6 linked regions of the Cricetulus griseus genome follow. The protein of the gene in region 5 interacts with the protein of the main gene of each other region in a pairwise test. Links are inferred from orthologs where the notes say so. Each region holds a gene or a part of one and is shown on either strand. Other genes may lie near its edges. The genes, in order: Gigyf1, Igf1r, Raf1, Gigyf2, Grb10 and Egfr.

Region 1 (3,035 bases), on a different chromosome or scaffold from region 5:
ACCTGGGGGTTTTGAGAGCCTGGAGCTGCTGCAGGAACGCAGTGAGCTGCTGCTGCTGCGGCGGCGTCAGGTCCCCCATAGCTGCCTTTTCCCGGAGCGTCGTACACTGCGGGAGCTGGCGGCTACAGACATACTGGGCTCAGACGGTATTACCACGTACAACCACTGCCCTGCCCACACCAAGCCCTGAAGTCCCCATACCTGCCGACCAGCTGCAGAAAGTGCTGGTGCTGCAGCTGCTGGTACAGGGCTGCGGCAGCCAGCTCCTGCTGCTTCTTCAGCCGCTCCTGATCCATGTTTCCCTGCGGGAGGTCAGAGCATGCCCGTGTGAGTGTGCCCAGCAGGAGCATGCCCAGCAAGTGAGGCAGTGAGGTAGTGCCTGAGGTCCTGCTGCTGCCCCACTGGTTGCCTTCCCTGCAACCTGCAGAGCAGACAGTGCTCACCAGCAGTGGGGGCGGCGAGGGCCCGGGGGCAAAGGGCACACGGCCCCACATCTTGATCACCTCTCCCAGAGGCTGAAAACCCTCATCGCAGCCCCTCTTCACTAGGAGTGACATGGAAAAGTAGCCTGCCTGGAACCACTCAGCCATCTCCTGGGTCGTGAAAGGGCCTGGAACAAGGGTGTGAGAGGGGTTAGGAGGTGGCCATGGCACGTCAGAGAGCACACGGAGCAAATCAACTCCCAGCAGTCTGCTACCCACAGCTACCTTGGATTTCCCCCTGTGGGTCCTTGTAGAACCACTTTCGGGCAGCGCCATGGCTGAGGGGAAGGGCAGTGGCGGCTGTGGAGTGGCGAAGGCCCTGTGTCTGCATGGCGGCCGTGAATTGCTCCTCCTCCAGGGAGCTGTCCTGCAGGGAGGCCACCAGCTTCTCTGCCTCCTGGGAGTCCAGAGAGAGAGGCAAGTCTGAGAGGACTGATACCACAAGGGCCATGTCAGACAGATCTAGGACACGTGGGACAAAGGTCTCTGCAACCCCAGAGTGGAGGCCCCTTGAGCATGCACAGGCACCCCCCCAAACCTGCTGCAGGTGCTTCAGGCCTTCTTCATCTTCCAGATCTCCAGGTGGGCCAGGAGGTGAGCCAACTCCAGGACTCAGAGACAGTCCCCTCATCTCATCTCCTGGGAGAAGAGATGGGAAAATGGGGAGGGGCCGAGGAAGGGACAGGATGGCTCTTGTGCCTGCTAGGAAAATGGCTCTTGCCACAACTCCAATTCTGTATCCACACCCAGCACTCCCTTTTCCATCAGCTCTTGCCAGTCTACCTTCAGCCGGTGGAGGCTCTTTCTCCACTACTTCATCACCATCCTCGTTCGTTGTCCAGAGAGGGCCCAAGGCAGGCAGTGGAGATGGGGAGCTGGACTTTTCTGGAGGAGGTAATGGCGTCACCTCCTTCCCACCTGGAAGGAACACATGACTACTTGAACTCAAAACTGAAGAGGCTGAGGCTAAGGAGTCGGCTCAATGCGTAAGTGTTTGTTTCACAACCATGAAGAGCAGTGTTGAAATCCCAAGAACCTGTATAAAAGCCACACATGGGAGTGGGAGTGGGAGGCAGAGAGAGGAGATTCTCCACAAGCTGGTAGGCCCAACTGAGCCTACCTCCAACAAGGTGAACGGCAGGGACTATACCCACTATACCCACAATTGTCCTCTGCCCCCCACATACTCTGTGGCACATATACAATAAAAATAAGAGAGCAGGGGGAGACCATGCCAGTGAGATAGCACAAAGTAACGTGTACCAGTTCCCAGACCTTGGGTGGTATGTCTATCCTTTCTAACTTTGGTCAACTCCCTAACCAACCAAGAAGTATGGATGCAGAGAACTGAGCTGTCTGCACTGCGCACACTGCCTCCCGGCCCTGCTCTGTGAGATATTGGTTAGGTCCTACAAGTGATGAGGGCTGTGTGGGTGGGTGCCTGCAGGCTTTCCACATGACTCCAAAGGTCATTCTCTTCACACCTGATAAAGGTCTCTCTCCACATCTCTGACTATTGGCTTGGCACATGCACGTGCACATATGTTAGAGGACGACTTGGCTCTTCCCTGCAAGGTTTTAAGGGCTCACCTGCCTCAGGCCCCTCTTCATCCACTCCTTCTGAAGGCTCCTCCTCCTCTTCCTCCAGGCCCTGGAAATCAAGCTCTTGCTCCTCGGGAATAGGTTCCTTGGGACCCTTCTGTGTGAGAAAGGGCAGAGTTGACAGTGGGAGAGGAGTTGAGGGACAGCTTCCATCAACCCCAACTGGCCCCTGAGAGGGTACCTTAAGAGGCAGGAAGGCCCCAGAAGCATCAAAAGTGCCCATCTCCTCATCTTCATCGTCCAGGCACCACTCAGGGAGCCCATCCTTGTCATCTTCAAAACCATCGAGCCCCCGGCATCTCCGGAGGTGAGAGCTGCCTCCCCCAAGTCGCCCGTCCTCTTCACCACACGCTCCTCGTTCCCCTCGTAAATCAAAATCAAACTTGCGCCTCCGCTCCCCATGCTCCCGCCAGCCAGCAGAGCGGGGACCACCATCTGGAAGAGAAAGTTAGAGAAGGAAAACAAAACAAAACACAAAAATGAGTGTCCAGCCAAACCAGGATTTGCCTTCTTCAGCTCACCAGGTCTTCCCAAGAAGCATGGCTTCCCCAGGATGTCCTCATCCCTCATATGCATGACCACCCCTTCCCCAGTATCGGCCCCATGGGGGCAATTTTCAAACTCCACCTTGCCCCATCTTACCAGGGCTGGTGGAACGCCAGCGATCACCATCTCGCCGGGGTCCTGCCCCGAGTCTCCAGCTGCCATCCTCCTCTTGCTCCTCTCGTAGTGAGCGCCAATTCTCACTGTCAGAGCGCGCATGCTCCTTCCTCGGGCCGGCCCCCCCCTCCTCAAACCCAGACCGTGCTGGCATGGGGGAGACAGACAATGAGCACCAAAGAACCCTGTGACAGGGTTCTGCCCCCCCTCCACCTGGGAGCCCATCTCAATCGCCTCCCTACCCTACTGGCCACACACGCAATGCTCTCATACCTCCATCCCTCCTTGCAG
Region 2 (4,130 bases), on a different chromosome or scaffold from region 5:
CCCTCTGGCGGCCATCGCCTAGACGCGCCCTGGGCACGAGGGGCCGCCGGTCTGGGTCCCCTTTCCAGGACTCGGGGGCCCGCGGTGGGATCGCCTTCCTCCCAGTAGAGCCACGCGGACCGCACCCTGTCCGCTTCCCGATTGCGCGCGAGCACCGGAACACCTGGGGAGCGCCGCCACGGGCGCCCGAGCCTGGCGTGGAAAGTGCCCTGCTTAGCAATCTTCGGGGGTCCCCTTTCCCCAGGTGTGCCCCTCCCGCCGCGTCTGGGCTTTCCACCACGCTGCGAAAAAATGCTGCATGCATGCACTTATTTATTTATTTTGCAACAGCTGCAAGAAACAATGAAGCTTTTTCACAGAGCGGGCCAGCGCGCTCTCCAGCCGCGCTGTTGTTGTTTTCAATGAAGCTCGGGGCCGCACTCCCCGCCCACCGCGCCCGCAGCCCGCCTGCTCGTCCGCCCGCCCTGCCACCTCCCGGGCCACCGAGTCCCACCGGCGCCCGGGGCATTGTTTTTTGGAGTCCTGCGGGAGGGGTGGGTGCGTACAGGGCTGGCCGGCGCAGTGCGGGTGGGGGCGGAAGCGTGGGCGCGCGCGTGGCTCTGTGTGCGCGCGGGGGCCAGCGCGGGTGGAGGCGCGGGGGGCGGTGCCTCCCTAGCCCGGCTCCCCACGCCCGCGCTCCGCTCCGCACGTCCCTGCGATCCCGAACTCCGGCTCTTGGCGCCTGCCGAGTCGGGGCCCGGCCCTCGGCGCGCCGGGACTGCGGCTGTGGACGCTTGGAGTGTGCGCGCGGGCACGTGTGCGCGGCCCCGAGAGCGCGCGCGTAGAGCCCCCAGTGTGTGGCGGCGGCGGCGCGGTGAGGCTGAGGTTCTTGTTTACCAGCATTAACTCCGCTGAGCGGAAAAAAAAAAAAAAGCGGGGGAGGGGGGAACCGAGGAGGAGGGAGCGCACCGGGCGAACTCGAGAGAGGCCAGCGACAGGGAAGCCGCCAGCGAGCCTGTCCCGGCGCGCTTGGTGCTCGCAGCCCCTCGGCCCCTCTCCTCGGACCCTCCACGCCTCTCCCGCGCCTGCGAGAGCTCCACGGCGCGCGGCGCGCTCGGCTTTGACCTTCAGCGAGCCGGAGCCCCCGCGCACGGAGTCGGCGGCGGGCGGGGGCCGACGTGGGGCGGCGGGAGCTCAGAGCGCTGCACGGCCGCCGCTTTGTGTGTGTGTGTCCTGGATTTGGGAAGGAGCTCGCGGCGGCGGCGGCGCTGAGGGAGGAGGAGGAGGCGGCGGCGAGCGGAGCCCAGAGGAGGAGGAGGAGCCCGAGGAGGGGGAGCCGCTCATTCATTTCCACTCCGCATATCTGCCCCTCGCCGACCTCGCCCGCGCCCGGGACTTCGGACCAGTCTCGCCAACTGCGTCGCGCTCTCCCGCCGCGGAGGCTTGGCCGGTTGCTCCCTCCGGGCATCTGGGGACGTTTGTCCTCGCCTGTGGCGATTTGGGCTTTGCTCCTCTCTCCGTACAGTTTTTCCCCCTCTTCTGCATCTCTGGGTTTGCAAATGGAGGCCGACGACGCCGACAGCCCGCCCCGGCGCGCCCCGGCTTCCCGACTCCGCCGCGCCGTGGGCCGCTGCTGCCGGCGCTGAAGGGGCCGCCCCGCGCCACCCTCCCCGTCCACGCCGCCTTCCGAGAATCGTCGCCTGCGCTCTTGTTTTTGAAGGAGAGTGAGGACTGAGTTGGAGACTTTTCTTTTCTTTTTTCTTTTTCTTTTTCTTTTGAGAGAAGGGAATTGCGTCCCAAATAAAAGGAATGAAGTCTGGCTCCGGAGGAGGGTCCCCGACCTCACTGTGGGGGCTCGTGTTTCTCTCTGCCGCGCTCTCGCTGTGGCCGACGAGTGGAGAAAGTGAGTATTTGCCCGCCGCCCGCGGCCACTGCGGGAACTTTTCCTCCGAGGGGCTGCGCCCTGTTTGGGAAAACCCAGTTGCCACGGGCGCAGCTGTCGGACTCCCGAGCTCGAGAGCGGAGGGTGGGGCTCTCACTGAAGGCAGGAGGGGAGCTTAAGGCTCGGGACCCCCACGGACTCTGGCTCAGCGCATCCGTGCTCAGGAAGGGCCTCAGGGCTTTCTCTTTCACTGTCCCGGGAGCGCTGTCCCGCGCGCGGCCTGGTGGGTGGGCAGCACTTGCTCCACGGCTCTTCAGGGACACTCCCGCGCGTGGGCACTTGGTGGGGAAGTTGGTGTCTGGGTGGGTTCAGGGTCCCTGCCACCCTCGTCTCTCCTCACCCCTGCGCGCGGGCATCTCCACACCCAGCGCCCATCCCGCGCAGCGCACCACGGTGACAGCACCTTTGGAGGCTTCACCGGTGGCTCATGGGGTAGACTGAGTGCGCCGTGGCGGCGAGCGGGAGCCTCCTGCCCTGCGGGGTGCAAGTTGTCCTTGAGGGGGAGGTGCGGGGTGGGGAGGCCTCGCGGCCCCAGGAAACGTTTCCAAACATCACGGCATGGCCTCCTGTCGTCCAACTTGTTTGGCCCATAAGGTCCCTAGGGTTTTTGGCCTTTAGCATCATCTCACATGATACGATGGGCGTCTAGTCCCCTCGTCCCCCACGGCTTCGTGACTCGGGACTCATCGGTGTGGCTCTGGGGTTCAGGGTTTATTCCCCGGCTTTCCCTAGGGAAGCGTGAGCTTGGGACCTTCTTCAGACTCCTTCGGGGGTGCGAGGCTTGGATCCCCAACTTTGAGGGTCCTTGGGCAGTCTGTAAGTTTCTACCCAGCCCTGGACACCCCTTCTTCCTAAAAGCGTCTAAGTAAAACGTGGTCGGGACATCAACCCATGAGCAGAGCCGATGTGCTTTTCCACACACGTGTGTTCTCAGCGCGGGTTTAGGGGCATCCACAGCCACACGACCCGAGGGGACACCTGGACTCCTAGCCCGGGGGAGAGGTGTCGTGTGCGTTGGTTTGGGCAGCGTCAGTGTGGTAGTGGAGGAGTGGTTGTTTTGTTTTGCAAGCGCGGAGCTCTGGCCTTGGTTTTGTTGTGGCCAGAGTTGTGTTGCACTGCCCCCCCCCCCCGCCCCCCGCACTTCCTTTGTACATACTTAATAAGCAGTATCGCTCCACGCTCGCTATCGCTTGCAATCTGATAGCTTTTGTTTTGGTGGTGTTGGGTAGGAGTGAGTGTGTGTGTGTGTGTGTGTGTGTGTGTGTGTGTGTGTGTGTGTGTGTGTGTGTGTGTGTCTGGGAGTGAGCACTCTCCACAGTGTCAGGAGGAGGGAGGTGGTTTGGAGGGGGTTTGTTCTCGAGAAAAACAGTGTGGCATACTGGTAGTTTTGAGATGATAGAGTAATTTGAACACAATTAAAAGTTTAAATGCAGTCTCCGAGCTGGGGCTGGGGAGGTGAGGGCGTGCTGATGAGTAATGGTTACAGAATGTATGCAGGTGGTGCCTATTAACTTCGAAAAATCATGACGGAGTCTTGAGTTAGCGAGGGGGAGATGATGGAGGCTGCGCACGGCGTGCGGCCCCACCACTGGGGTAGTTAACAAAGGCTGTTTCTATAAACAAACCCTTGAACTTCTTTTAAGAAATGTCTGCGATGGAGTACGAGCAGATCTTTATAGAACTATAGCTGTTTACTGCCTAGAGTAAGGCGCAGACTGGGCCGACACACAGATCTGGGCTCTCCTGTCCTTTGTTTTCCAAACTTTGAACTTACTGGATTGGGCGAAAGGTTTCTGGCTCACTTCTACCCAGGCGTTTAGATGGTGTTTGGGGGCAGGGAGGATTTTTAGCCTTTAAGGACTAAATATGGTTTAGAAGGCACTAGGAAGGAGTCCATTTTACTATGGCATCCTATTGAACTATGCACTTTCTCTACTTTTGTTATTTAATAGAAGTTACGAAATGCAAAGTAGCAGCGATGGCCTTGCATCTTGGGGCAGCATGTAGGCATCTGAAACAGGTTGTGGCTGGGTCTTCATGAACAATATGCTTTGTCCAGAACAAGGGTGGCAGGAGAAGGGTGTTTTAATGTGTGTTGTTTATCATCCAGTGATAATTGGCCAAGCTCTTCCTCAGGCTTCCTGAAATGTGATGGATGGCTAGAAAGCACCCAGAATCCTTGTTAGGGCCTGCTGAAGTCCTGACTCAA
Region 3 (2,769 bases), on a different chromosome or scaffold from region 5:
AGCAGCAGGGTTGGGTAGGGCCGGGCTGTGCAGGTCAGCACCTGCTGTGGGTTCTGAGGGATACTCCTCTAAGGAGGAAGGAACTCTATTTCCTTCCCGAGTATGTGCTAAAAGCTAGACGAACCCTTTGCATAGACACACCTCTTCTCTCTAATCAATAGGCAACAGTCTAGCTGTGTGGGATTTGGCTTGTGTTTTTACCTTTATTTCCAGCCATCTATTTATAGCTAACCTGCTATATTCTGGAGCCTGAGCACTAGCTTTCTAGTCATTGAATTACTCTTAGGTCTGTAGGGATGAGTTGGACAGAGGTGGATTTCACAGATGAGGGGTCCTGTACAGAGGGCATCTCTTCAAGCAAGGCCAGCGTGGAGGTGGATGAAGGGTGGGCTTGAGCGGATTGTAGGCAGTGCTCTCATGGCTGTGCTTTCCCTGGTTCCCCTTTCCCCAGCAAAACACGGCATGTTAATATCCTGCTGTTCATGGGCTATATGACAAAGGACAACCTGGCCATTGTGACCCAGTGGTGTGAAGGCAGCAGTCTCTATAAACACCTACATGTCCAGGAGACCAAATTCCAGATGTTCCAGCTAATTGACATTGCCCGACAGACAGCTCAGGGAATGGAGTAAGTAGACAGCTTGGTGAGTCCTTGTGGCCTGAATCATGAGTTGCCCTTTTGGGACCTGGATTGAGTGGCACCTGGGTAGGCTTTTTGAAATTGGGTGTTAATGCATGGGAACTCTGAAGCTCCTGTTCCTCATGAGCCAGATCTAATCACTGTCTGTAGGAACCTTGTGTCCAGGCAGCAGGAACATCTTCTGCTCACTGGTGCTTAATGTGTGTATTTTAGACTGTGTGTATTTGTGTGGGTCTGTGTGTAGATACATGCACAAGTCAGTATTCAAGAGTTGGGTGGTCCTGAGGCTGGAATCAGTTGTGAGCTGCTTGATATGTGGGTGCTGGGAATGGAAAGTGGGTCTTCTGCAAGAGCAGTGCATGCTCTTAAACTCCAAACCATCTTTCCAGCCCTTTGTCACCTTGGATCATCCACTGTCTTTAAAAGGCCATCCTTTAGCTCCTGGATCCTCTGGGTCTCTGCAGGACATGTTACTGAGTGATAAGGTTCCCTCCTGGCAAGTACCAGGCAGTGCTCTTGAGCTTTGCTTCCCAAGTGCCCTTAGGATGAGGGTACAGGAATTCTGTAGTGTTTGCTCCCTCCTCCCCTACCTGGTGACTATAGCTAGTATACTAGTATAAGCATTACAGTTGTGTTCTGTTTTGAAGTTCATACAGAAGTCAGGTAGTGGTGGCACATGCCTTTAATCTCAGCACTCAGGGGCTGGGAGTGTGGTGCAGAGGCAGGTGGATCTCTAAGTTTGAGGCCAGCTTGATCTACAGAGCAAGTTCCAGAATAGCCAGGGCTACACGGAGAGAACCCATCTCAAAACACCAGAAAATAAAATTCATACAAAAATTTTAACATTAAGGAATAATTCATATACCGTAAGAATTCTTTCTTTTGGAAGGTGGGGCTTTGGGGCCCTTCTGTATTCATAGTGTAGCTGTCCTATTAAATCCTGCATTCTCACCACACAGAAAAATACAGCTTATAGTCATCCCTTGCTCCTGATAATCAGCCTTCCCACTGCTGGGTTTTGTCTTTGGACAAGTGGCATGTGAGATAAAATACAGCGTTCTACATGCCTGGCTTTGTTTGCATGGCCTGGCTTTGTTTGGTATGTGGGGTGAAGTGGTGCCCACCAGTTAGTTGATGGCCAGTGAGGCTGTCAGTTACATTTTGAGTGAAATCGATGTTTGATGTCAGCATCATTTACACTTGTAGCCTTTCTGTAGGTGACAGGCTTAGGCTGGGAAGACGGGTGCTTTACTAGCTATAGCCTCAAACAACTGATTGGTTTTTCTTCACAGCTATTTGCATGCGAAGAACATCATCCACAGAGACATGAAATCCAACAGTATCCTTTGGTATTGAGTTCTCAGCTTAGGGACCCAAGAGGCCTTTTTCATATATGGTTCACGGTGCCAGGGGAGAGCTTTTTAAAGGAAAACAAAAATGGATAGTTAAGAAGCCAAACAGGCCCTCTGCAGCCTCCACCTTAACTGGGCTGCAGTGACTGTGTCTATGAAAGTTCCTTCCTTAAGGTTTCTTTCCTCCACAAGTTCCTTCAGAGTTGGGATACAAACTTGGAATGAACTTGAACTCAGCCTGGTTGAATTATATAAAGTTTGCTTGAGAGTTTATTAGTATCTATTTATGCCTCATCTGTGGAAAATGTATTACTGTGCACACAGAGGAGAATGTAAATGGCGGGCCAGATTTTCAGGATTTTGGGTGTATTTCCCATCCTCGGATGCATATGTTACCAACAAGTCCAAGGTGGCTGCTGCCTCTTACTTGGTCCAAGCATCATAATGTCACCCTTATAGTAGACTGAGAATTGGGATAGAGCTATACTAATTATACATTCTGGGACTGGGGAGATAGATAATCACAGGGTGAGTTTGGGGACCTACTGTGAGCTAGTTTCAGCCCAACTCCACTAATCACCTGACCTCCACAATTCCCTATTTTAACTGGAGGGCCACCAATTCAGAACCAGTGTCCAATAGACCCCAGAATGTCTGATCGTTTCCTTTGAAATTGCTCCATAATGTCCTTGAAGTCAGCCTAGAAGCCACTGTTAGAAACCGAATTCCCTTTCTCACACTAACTGTACACTGAGATGGTGTGGCAGTGTTATGCTC
Region 4 (3,202 bases), on a different chromosome or scaffold from region 5:
GGATCTTTGAGATTTGATAGTTTACATTTTCTGAAAGACAAATTGGCAGGATTCATAAAGAGGCATAAAATCCGCATATTCTACTAGAAATGATAACTATGCTGTAGATCACTTCTGGAGATGTGGAAGACGCATTGTATGTAGCACAGAGCATTTGAGACTGTGCAGAGCAGACTTTGGTAAACTAGGAGGGACTGGCAGGCGTCCATACCAGAGCACAGTAGAGCAGATGTCTCAGGGCATTGCAGGAACAGGTGGTATGAAGTAGTGCAGCAAACACTGTACCTGGGGATGGTCTCCTCTGTGGGCTAAAACAGCAAGGAAATGCCCCCGCATCACATGTGCCCATGGACCCTAGGCATGTTCTTCCACAGTGCTCTCTGCACTCCTCCCTTGATGCTTCTGAAGTAAGTTTCTCTAATAAATACAACAGTAAGAACAGAGGATTAGTGTACTGTTTTATACTCTAACCAGCCGGCAGAGATGTGGGGCAATATTTTAGGAACAAATCCCTTCTGGGATTGCCAGTGTGAATAACGTGTATAACTGTAGCCTTTGGTATATTGCCAGCTGAGTTTCAGCTTGTCCTCTGACCTGTATACTGTAAATCAGTCAGGTGCATATATTGCCATAGTGCTGAGGTCAGATGTTGTGTGTTTCCTAATGTATGATACAGACACTGTATCTGCTAGAAAACTTAGGACAGCCATTCTGGTATAGCCTGAGTGAAAGCTTTGAGTTTCAGGAGGGACTTTATAGAGATAACAGGTATCAAGTAGAGTGCTGTAAATGAGGACTGGTAGTTCAGTGACCCTCTCTCAGTTTTTGTATTGCCAGTACTGGTTCAGGTTTTTTTTCTTAAGATTTATTTTTAAAGTAACTAAATTATTAGCGTGTTCACATGAATGAAGGTCAAAGCATAGGATACCCATGGTGCTGGAGTTATAGTGTAAGCTGCCTGATGTGACTGCCAGGAATCAGACTCAGGTCCTTTACAAGAACAGTATGCACTTTTTTTTTGTTTATTTGAGACAGGGTTTCTCTGTGGCTTTGGAGGCTGTCCTGGAACTAAACTAGCTCTTGTAGACCAGGCTGACCTTGAACTCACATAGAAACCTTGGAGAGAGGGGGGAGGGGGGAGAGAGAGAGGGAGGGAGGGGGAGAGGGAAAGAGGAAGAAAGAAAAGAAATACTTTATACTTTTGGGGGTTGGTTCTTTCCTTCCACTGGGTTCTGGGCATGAACTCAGGCCATGAGACTTCTGTGGAAGCACTTTTGCCCTCTGAGCTATCTCGCCGGGATTTTGTTTGCAGACTCACACTTGCGAAGGTGAAGGTGAAGGCAAAGGCCAGCCAGCCATTCTCTTCAAGCGTCCACATCCAAATGCACTGTATAATTGTAGTTGTGCTGTTTTGCTTCTTGTTTCACAGGATTCTGTTTGGGGCATGAACCATAGTACACTCCATTCGGTATTTCAGACCAATCAAAGCAACAACCAACAGTCCAGTTTTGAGGCTGTGCAAAGTGGCAAGAAGAAGAAAAAGCAGAAGATGGTTCGAGCAGATCCTAGTTTATTAGGTGAGAATAGGCCTGGAGTCTCAGCCTGGATGGGAGGAAGGTTCGGGCGATACGAGGGACCAGATAATCATAAGTCACTGTCTTTCATGTCGAGGTTCATTTTACTTACTGGCCTTAAGAGAAGTGGCTAGTAAGTGTTTCCTGGGCATGGAGGTGCAGGAGACAAGCAAACTTGAAAGCATTGCTCAGCCTTTCAAATAAAGATAAGGATAATGGATGACAGTCGAGCTCTGGAAGCAAATATTCAGAGAAGCAGCGCTTGTTATATCCACTTTTAGCCCAGTTCTCCCAGCCAGTAAGCTGGACTTCAGGCCTCTGCTGCTCTTCTGTGGTAGACACCTCTCTGTCTGGTACTGAGGGCTATTGTCCTCACACACAGTAGCTTCCTAAAAAAGCAGACTCCTAAATTAGGGCTTTAAAAGACAGGTGGGAATGGTGGGTACTGGTATTTCATAAATAATGAATGTAAGTTGCTGTGTTTCTCAAATTGACCTAACAACCACACAAGTAGTGATGGAAAATGAAACTATTTTCTATTTTTGAATATGAAGTTAATATACTTCCATAGAGTCCTTCTTTAGAACATTAATATCAAACAGGTTAAAGAGTTTAAAATTCTGACAGAAATAGATGAATAGGTTTCTAACCGTAGCTCTGGCTAAGAAGTCCTTAGGACTTGGCTTACAGGTATGAGAGGTTGCTCTACAGATGTGGCTTAGCTGTTCATGTTTGTTCTCTGCAGTATGCTCTTGGTCTTTTGCCATAGACTCCAGAAGACAGGGACTTAAACATCCCTGTGTGGGAGATGGATGGGTAGGTCCTCTTAGAGCTCAAAGGCTCCATTGTCTTGAAGGGAGGACAACCAGCACTAAAGGACGAGGAACTTGACCATGAAGTGCTGAGGGGACTAACTTGGGCGAGTGATCTTTTCATGTGAAAAGCACTGCCTACTTAAGTCTCTTTCTGGGGAGTCCTGTGTTTATTCACTTTCATGTGTTACTTCTCAATGCATGTATTCTCTGTAAAGTTACAGATTGAGAAAAGTTTTCCATGCACATACTGGATGAATAGCTTTCAACTGGATCTAGAATTATCCATTCATTGCAAGAACAGATTGAAAGGGAACTTTAATTCTGAAACAAACCAACAGAGGGAGCCCCAACATCATTTCACTTCCCAGTGTCCTTCACTTTACTGTAATCATACTAATTTTAAGGGTTCCCAAGTAGCCAGTGTAAACCATTTGGGGGTGATAATATACACCTTGCAGAGTCCTCCCAGGAAGTCAGGCTTCCCTTTCCTACAGAGGATCATAATCCTAAGGAAGTCAGGTGAGGGAGTGTTGTAGACCTAGAAGAAAGTGGTCTGTGGAGCAGCAGAGACCCCTTTTGTTGCCTTGCCTTTCATGGCACTCACAAGCAATTGTTTTTGTAATGTTAGGAAGCTGAGCTTTTAAATCAGTTAAGTTAGATCATGTCTTCTAAACAGCCTCACCTGGTAATCAAGACATTGTAATCTCAAATAATCATTATTTCTTCATAGGTTTCTTTTCCTGTCTTGATTGAAATTAGTTGGTTTTAAAATTACATTTCTTCGGTTGCATGCAGCTCATTGTTTCCAGCTCA
Region 5 (3,054 bases):
GGCTACCTATTAAAACTCTAAAAACCCAAAGCATTTGGCATTTTCCTTCTCAACTTAGTCCTGGTGGCTACACGGAGTTTTCATTTGGAAAAGAAAATCACAGGCAGAGATTACAAAGTCAAACAGGCTCCAAAACAACCCTGAGCTGTCCCCTTTACATTCATGTCAATTAAATACAAAAATAAAAGTCAAATGTCCTTCAGTCTCTGGCTAGGGGTGCTGGGTACCCACTACCCCAGGGACCAGCTGTTTCAGGTGGAATTCCCAGCTGCCTGTGCAAAGGCTGGCGAGCTCGGGGCAACTGAAGTCTGCTACACTCAAGGCGGATTGCAGCCTTCAACAATTCACTTCGGCTAGGGAAGTACAAAATACTACGTCAAACCAGCTACGTACAAAATTGTGAACCAGAGTTAAGCCTATTCTTCCTTTTAAATAAAATGCATACTTATAAATATGAGATACACTTCCTAGCTGTCTACTGTAGAGGCAAAAGAAAATGATTATGCACTGTGGGGACTGTTCTGTGTAAACTGGAGAAAGAAATCCTAGAGTTGCTTGTTGTCTGTTTTGTAAAGTTCTGATCTTAAAGTCAGCAAAAAAAAAAAAAAAATGAATATGGTAAAAATGAAATGTCCGTTATCTGTCCCTAAGGGGAAGATCAGTGGAAACCTGCTGCCAGGCATGAACTTGAGAATTATCTCATTGTCAACTGAAATGATTAACTAGCTGCGAAAGAAAGAGAAATGCAATTGAGCATTTATGCTTAAGAAAATGTTTTACTAAAAAAAATGATAAAAGATAGATAAAAAGATAAAAAGTAAAAAGAAAAAAAAATTCTTCATTTGTTGTAATAAACATCTCGTGGAAACACGGGTTGCATGGTCTGTGAACTACAGTGTTTCTATACTGTGGACCAGCTTGCAGCGGACCTGCTTACAAAGCGCTGTTACATCTATCTTCCACTGTGCCGTCAACCGCAAGAAATCAGAAGTACTCCCTGGGGAGCACTTCAAAAGTCGGGACTGGCAATCTAGTGGCTAGCTCAGGTTCAAAGGGACAGTCAGGTGTGGTGTCAGGAAAAGAAATCTGTTCACCACGGTTGTCTGTGTTTCTCAAGGGAGTCCTGTCTGATACCCTCATGCCTGATAAAAATCATTAAGGGGACAACAGAGGGTCCTCCATGGGGGCTCAAGGGAGCCAATGACAACTCCAGCCACCTTCTGACTCCTCTCTTGGAGGAGGAAGCAAACATCATGCTGCTAAAAAAAACCCAAAAAATCAAAACTGTCCAATGTTCACAACCACTGTGAGGTACATCTCACCCGAAGCCATCAGAGGCAGAGCCTCTGCATACCCTGCTCCTGCTGGCTTAGGGGGTTTTCAGTAGGGTGCAGAGGTCATCAAGCAAAGACTCAAAGCCAGCCAATGCTGGCACCCTCTGCAGTGTTTCCTTATCTTTATCACCATAGATGTTCAGAGTGACAGAGCACAAGGTCAACAAGTTGACATTTTCTCATTAGATCCTTTCACCCCACTATCCCACCCCACCCCTGTGGGAGAACTGAAATGACTGAGGCTACTGCAGAGGGTAAAGGCAGCAATTATTCTACAACAGTGGGTGGCTATGAAAATGTGAGGCACAGGGCACCCCAGATGGACTATGTGGCATCCACAATGAATACCAATGTGTTACAAGAAGGCTTGCTGACATCAGTCTGAAGCTGAGGTCATGCAGCTGTGCTGTGCTGGGGAACAGTGAGTTTTCCAAAGTAATGAGGTCTCCTGCACTGTGGAGAACGAGACACACTAATAATAAATGACCAGACATCAGCACAACAACAATGATGACCAGACTGTGGTAGCTCGACTGAGTCCACAAAACATGCGTGGTGTCAACTGCGGTTGACACTTTTTATCTCATTATTTTATTTTATTTTATTTTATTTTTTAAAACAAAAGCTTTTCAAGTAGAATGGGAACTACTGGGGTATCTATAATGTAGGAGCCAAATCCACACTGTGGCAACCTGTGGAAAGCAGGATGCCCTTGAGAAAACTTTGGGGACCAATTTTTCAGGCTGAAGACTGCCAATTCAAAATTCTTTGTCTCATCTGGGTTGCAAAGCCACATCCCCTCCTACCATATAGGCTGAGTACAACATTGACAACGAAGAAGGAGTGCAAAAAAGTGATCAATACAAAAAGTAAACATCGCGGTTTTGTCAAGATTATTCCAGGGCAAGAGTTCATTTCCAATCATTTCTCTGCGGTTTTCACCCTACGTGGCCTAATCAAAATTATCATTCCAGTTTCTTCCCACACTTGCACTGGATCTCATCCCTCCCCCAATTTAAATGGCTGACGCAGAGGGAGGTGGTCCTGCTTGATCCGCAGCGGCAAATCTTTGTGAAGTCCAATAACTAATTGATGTTGGTCGGTTGGCACCGATCAGAAAGCCATGATGTTCTGAGTTGTTGGGTGGGAGTAGGTGTGTGTTCTCACCCTCATGCAGGCCTCTCTTCTCCGTTCCAGTGTTGCTGCCTCCAGCCTCTGTGATAGGGCAAGGAGGTCATAAGGCCACACGGATGCAGTGGTGCTTCAGCTTGCAGGGCAGAACACCTTTGTTGAGCTGGTAGAAGTCGACCAGCTGAATCAGATCGGAGAACTTGGTGTTCCCATCATCCAGAGTGAAGAATGTCTGCCCATCATCCTCGCACTGCAGAGACACAGAAAGTACTTGCCACATTAGAGGATGTGACTTTGGGGGATACCCTGTGGCCTGTGGTCAGCAGCAAATTTGCCTGCTTATGGTTCTGTTCCTGAGAGCCACACACAAAGTTGGCAAGGTAGGTCAGAAGACATGGTGTGAAGGGAGCCAGTATTTGTGCCTGGTGCTGTAACCACACTTTCTAATACTGAGAGGGGGACAGGAGTACAACTTCTCGTTGGTAGCCACTTAACTATCAGTTAGGTCCTCTATAATTTTGAGTAGTCATGAGATACACTGGCTCAATTCCTTCACTGAAAACAGTCAAGGTCAAACCTGCTGGAAGTG
Region 6 (3,565 bases), about 4.2 Mb from region 5:
GTGGGGCATGCCCTCAGGGCCCTTTTTCTTATTGTCCCAGTGTAGAGTACAGGACTTCTCTTTAAGGGTTCATCTCTTTGCAGTTTTGATTGTATTCTCAGCATCTGACTTACTTGCAACTTTAAATTCTGCCCTTTCCCCTACTGAACTACACATTTTTCATATCCCATGTCCACTTTTCCCTCCAGCACACTGTAGACCTGGATAAGAACAGTGAGCAGGAGCCACGGACCTCTTTGGCATTCTTTCTACAACAAATTACTTGAGGAACCGTCTGCACAGGTGAGACAGGACCAGCTACTTACTGCAGTCATTCGGGGCTCTGTTGTTCATGATTTTGGTTTTCTGATTAGAAGTCCCAAAGAGTTTTTTCCAGTTTATTGTATTTGCGTAGCACAAATTTCGGTTTCCAGAAATGACCACATCTCCATCACTTATTTCCTTGAGGGAACGCAATCCCAATGATGTTATGTTTAGGCCAACGACCGCAAGAGAAAATTGACCACTAAATGGGGGAGAAGAAAAATTGCATTGTACATGATAGTGAAAACAACATGCCACCCTCAAATTTTGTTTTTCTGGGCCACTTAGGTTTCCTGAAAACCATGTTACAATTATTACTAATAATTCTGTGAAAAATATGAATCACAACTTTTAAAAAATGCAAGTGCTTTTTAAGTTTCTTCAAGGAAAAGCCGGTTTCTCATCCATTTATTATCTTTAACATTGGGTAAACTGGAGGACTGAGTCATTGGCCTCATGTCATTTCATTTACTGTATTTAGAGTTTTCCTAGAAATCAGGAACACCTAAATGTTCTTTAAGTAAGTTTGTTTGTCTGTCCATCTATCCAGTGTTATCCGGTCATGTTTATTGAGTGAATATCTGTCATACCACTGCACTATATGGTACCATGGTACTACAAATACTATATAAGTTAAATATGTGTCTTTTATAGAGGCAGAGGTTTTTGTTTATTTTTGAATCCCTACCTTAATTCTCCTACCTCCTCTCCTCCAAATCCCCTTTCCCCATCCGCTCTTTCTCGTTTGTTTCTCTTCAGAAAAGGGCAGGCCTCCCATGGATATCAGCCAGCCATGGTATATCAAGTTATAGTGAGACTAGGCAACTCCCCTCATATTAAGGCTAGATGAAGTGATCCGATCCCATAGGAGGAAAGGGTCCCTAAAGCAGGCAACAGAGTCAGAGACAGCCCCTGCTCCCAATGCTAGGAGTCCGACAAGAAGACCAAGCTACACAGCTGTAACATACATGCCTAAGTCAGTACCCTGCAGGATCCCTGGCTGTTGGTTCAGTATCTGTGAGCCTCTATGAGCCCAGGTTAGCTGATTGCAGGCAGAGTTTTTTGAGGTCAGAAAAATGAATGCAGTTTATAGAGCATTGTTGGTCAAGCATGGACACTTAAGTAGCTCCATGGATGAATGGCATAGAAGGATGACTTTCTCCAAGCCCTGATGTCTCATATCTGAGACCTGGAGAGCAGAGCCAAGTGAGATTCTCCAAGGTATGTTCCCATTGAATGACTGGATTAAAGTTAGCAAGACAAAAGGCAATGAATCCCAAAGCCCTAGGAAGAGGACTTCAGGATATCTGCAGGTAGGGAGGGCTGGAAGACATGCCCTGGGGATGGAGGGTGAAGTCAGAGCACAGGTTTATGCCCCTACTGGAGGAGCTTGGGTTGTCACAGTCACATAGAAGCAGTGTGCATTCGTAGGAAGATTCTTTGACACCCACCTCAGAAATGGGTCGGTTGAGACAGGACAAAGGCAAGAGAATGAAAGTTAAGAGATTAAAAGCCAAAGGTTTAAAGCATTATTTTGTAGCCCCCTCTTCCTGTTTATGCTTCTTTCCATTTTCCCCACAGCCTATTTCCAGAGAAGTGACAGTCCTAGGTAGGAGATCCACAACCACCATTTCCTGGGAATTCCCCCCAGCATGAACTCGGAGAAGCCAAGGAGTCAGGGTCTGGCTGGGATTTTTTTTTGCAGGTCAAGCCCCAGCTTTTTGTGAGTCACACCAGGACCTAGTGGTCATCCAGTGGTTTAAACCCTTAAAACGAAGCAGAAGGCTGCAATGCAGTCACTTGAAATCCTGAGCCAAAGCTCATCCCTGGCCTATGCAAAGACATCTCTGAGAGTTAGTATCACAAGTGTCTGACTAACAGAGTTTATGGAAGCAATGTATATTGTGTATATGTGATTATGGTGCTTTGACGTATTAAACAGTTCATGGTATGTGAAGTTAATGGTGGTAAATTCCAGAAAAGGCCATCATAATCAGAAAGTTTTCAAGGCAGTTTGAGCTACAGATTTCCAAATTTCTCTTCCTCACCACAAATCTTAGGATTTCTCTGTTAAAGATCTCCCTCCCTTCCTCCATTTTCCCCTACCTTCTTCCCTCCCTCCCACCGTCCCTCCCTCCCTCCCTTCCTCCCTCCATCAACCTTTTTGTTTCTTTCTCTGTCTGTCTGTCTGTCTGTCTGTCTGTCTGTCTGTCTGTCTGTCTGTTTCTCTGTGCGTGTATGCATGTGTATATCTTTTTCTCTCTGTGCACACATTTCCTTGTTGTGGCTGGAAAAATGTTCGTTATAGGTCCCCAAAGCATGTAGTGTTAAAACATTGCTTAGGTCCCCTTGTGTGATATGTTATATATCTTCATCTGTATCATTAGCAAATATTAGCCAAGAATAAATAAGGAGACAGTCTATAAAACACCTGGTCACATTTTCCCAGAATGTCAAGACAGTGAAAATGGGCAAAGACATAGGAGTGAGGGAAGTTTGAAGGGGACTGAGAAGATATTAGAAGTCAATGCAATGTGGGATTCTTGAGAGGACAGAGAAAGAACAAACATATTCCTGGACAATCTGGTGAACTCAGAATAAAGTACATGGTTGAGTGAACATCTATCTTAATCCGAATATCCACTCACGTAGGTTGTTCACACTGGGGGAAGCTGAGTGAAAGAGCATCTTTGTACTATTTCTGTAACCCTCCTTTCAGGCCAATTTCAAAATAAAGAGCAAGAATAATCTATCAGCCTTTGGTTATGGCTGACTTACTGTTGCTTTGTTCTGCCACGTATTATTTCTAGGTTCTCAAAAGCATGGAGGTCAGTCCAGTTTTCAGGCCAAGCTTGAATCAGCAAAAACCCTAGAGGGAGGAAGAAAGGCTTATACACACAGTGCTAGAAATGTCTTTGTTTTGTAGGAAACATATTCTAGGACTCATGGTGTATGGACAGCGGCAGTGGATTCTCCCAGCCTCGCTGTGACTAAGGATGACTAAGGATGTCCAAGGACGACAGTCCAGGAGATATTTAAAAAAACATTGAAATCCTGCTCCCTCCATGGAACTTTGAATCCCTGATTGCACCTCTTGCAACCCTCAGGCCAATGCCCACCTTACAGGCTGACCATGTACTCTTATATCTATGGAGGATATCAGATCACACACCAGGTTCCTTCTCTGACTGTTTTCATGTTGCTGGTTATTTAGGGTCTCGTCTTAAATACTTTCTTCACTTAGCGCTGATCTCCGCATCAG

Evidence for each region.
Region 1: the proteins of Grb10 (region 5) and Gigyf1 interact in a two-hybrid assay, tested with the Homo sapiens proteins (2 studies listed by BioGRID). The link is inferred for Cricetulus griseus from reciprocal best matches to the Homo sapiens genes GRB10 and GIGYF1.
Region 2: the proteins of Grb10 (region 5) and Igf1r interact in a two-hybrid assay, tested with the Homo sapiens proteins (4 studies listed by BioGRID and IntAct). The link is inferred for Cricetulus griseus from reciprocal best matches to the Homo sapiens genes GRB10 and IGF1R.
Region 3: the proteins of Grb10 (region 5) and Raf1 interact in a two-hybrid assay, tested with the Homo sapiens proteins (2 studies listed by BioGRID). The link is inferred for Cricetulus griseus from reciprocal best matches to the Homo sapiens genes GRB10 and RAF1.
Region 4: the proteins of Grb10 (region 5) and Gigyf2 interact in a two-hybrid assay, tested with the Homo sapiens proteins (2 studies listed by BioGRID). The link is inferred for Cricetulus griseus from reciprocal best matches to the Homo sapiens genes GRB10 and GIGYF2.
Region 6: the proteins of Grb10 (region 5) and Egfr interact in binary tests that used the Homo sapiens proteins (3 or more experiments, as listed by UniProt). The link is inferred for Cricetulus griseus from reciprocal best matches to the Homo sapiens genes GRB10 and EGFR.

Annotation. Positions count from the first base shown.
Region 1 is NC_048597.1:116,445,882-116,448,916, reverse strand, and holds part of Gigyf1 (GRB10-interacting GYF protein 1), read right to left. Parts: coding exon 3,018-3,035; intron 2,892-3,017; coding exon 2,727-2,891; intron 2,520-2,726; coding exon 2,266-2,519; intron 2,182-2,265; coding exon 2,073-2,181; intron 1,401-2,072; coding exon 1,266-1,400; intron 1,122-1,265; coding exon 1,021-1,121; intron 880-1,020; coding exon 708-879; intron 611-707; coding exon 444-610; intron 303-443; coding exon 202-302; intron 123-201; coding exon 3-122; intron 1-2. UniProt on the Homo sapiens protein: May act cooperatively with GRB10 to regulate tyrosine kinase receptor signaling. May increase IGF1 receptor phosphorylation under IGF1 stimulation as well as phosphorylation of IRS1 and SHC1.
Region 2 is NC_048596.1:129,269,990-129,274,119, reverse strand, and holds the start of Igf1r (insulin-like growth factor 1 receptor), read left to right. Parts: upstream 1-1,317; 5' UTR 1,318-1,788; coding exon 1,789-1,882; intron 1,883-4,130. UniProt on the Homo sapiens protein: Receptor tyrosine kinase which mediates actions of insulin-like growth factor 1 (IGF1). Binds IGF1 with high affinity and IGF2 and insulin (INS) with a lower affinity. The activated IGF1R is involved in cell growth and survival control.
Region 3 is NC_048601.1:29,220,793-29,223,561, forward strand, and holds part of Raf1 (RAF proto-oncogene serine/threonine-protein kinase), read left to right. Parts: intron 1-451; coding exon 452-628; intron 629-1,932; coding exon 1,933-1,979; intron 1,980-2,769. UniProt on the Homo sapiens protein: Serine/threonine-protein kinase that acts as a regulatory link between the membrane-associated Ras GTPases and the MAPK/ERK cascade, and this critical regulatory link functions as a switch determining cell fate decisions including proliferation, differentiation, apoptosis, survival and oncogenic transformation.
Region 4 is NC_048595.1:439,092,599-439,095,800, forward strand, and holds part of Gigyf2 (GRB10-interacting GYF protein 2), read left to right. Parts: intron 1-1,429; coding exon 1,430-1,577; intron 1,578-3,202. UniProt on the Homo sapiens protein: Key component of the 4EHP-GYF2 complex, a multiprotein complex that acts as a repressor of translation initiation. In the 4EHP-GYF2 complex, acts as a factor that bridges EIF4E2 to ZFP36/TTP, linking translation repression with mRNA decay.
Region 5 is NW_023276807.1:93,634,010-93,637,063, reverse strand, and holds the end of Grb10 (growth factor receptor-bound protein 10), read right to left. Parts: intron 2,716-3,054; coding exon 2,569-2,715; 3' UTR 527-2,568; downstream 1-526.
Region 6 is NW_023276807.1:89,393,600-89,397,164, forward strand, and holds part of Egfr (epidermal growth factor receptor), read right to left. Parts: intron 3,173-3,565; coding exon 3,082-3,172; intron 506-3,081; coding exon 306-505; intron 1-305. UniProt on the Homo sapiens protein: Receptor tyrosine kinase binding ligands of the EGF family and activating several signaling cascades to convert extracellular cues into appropriate cellular responses.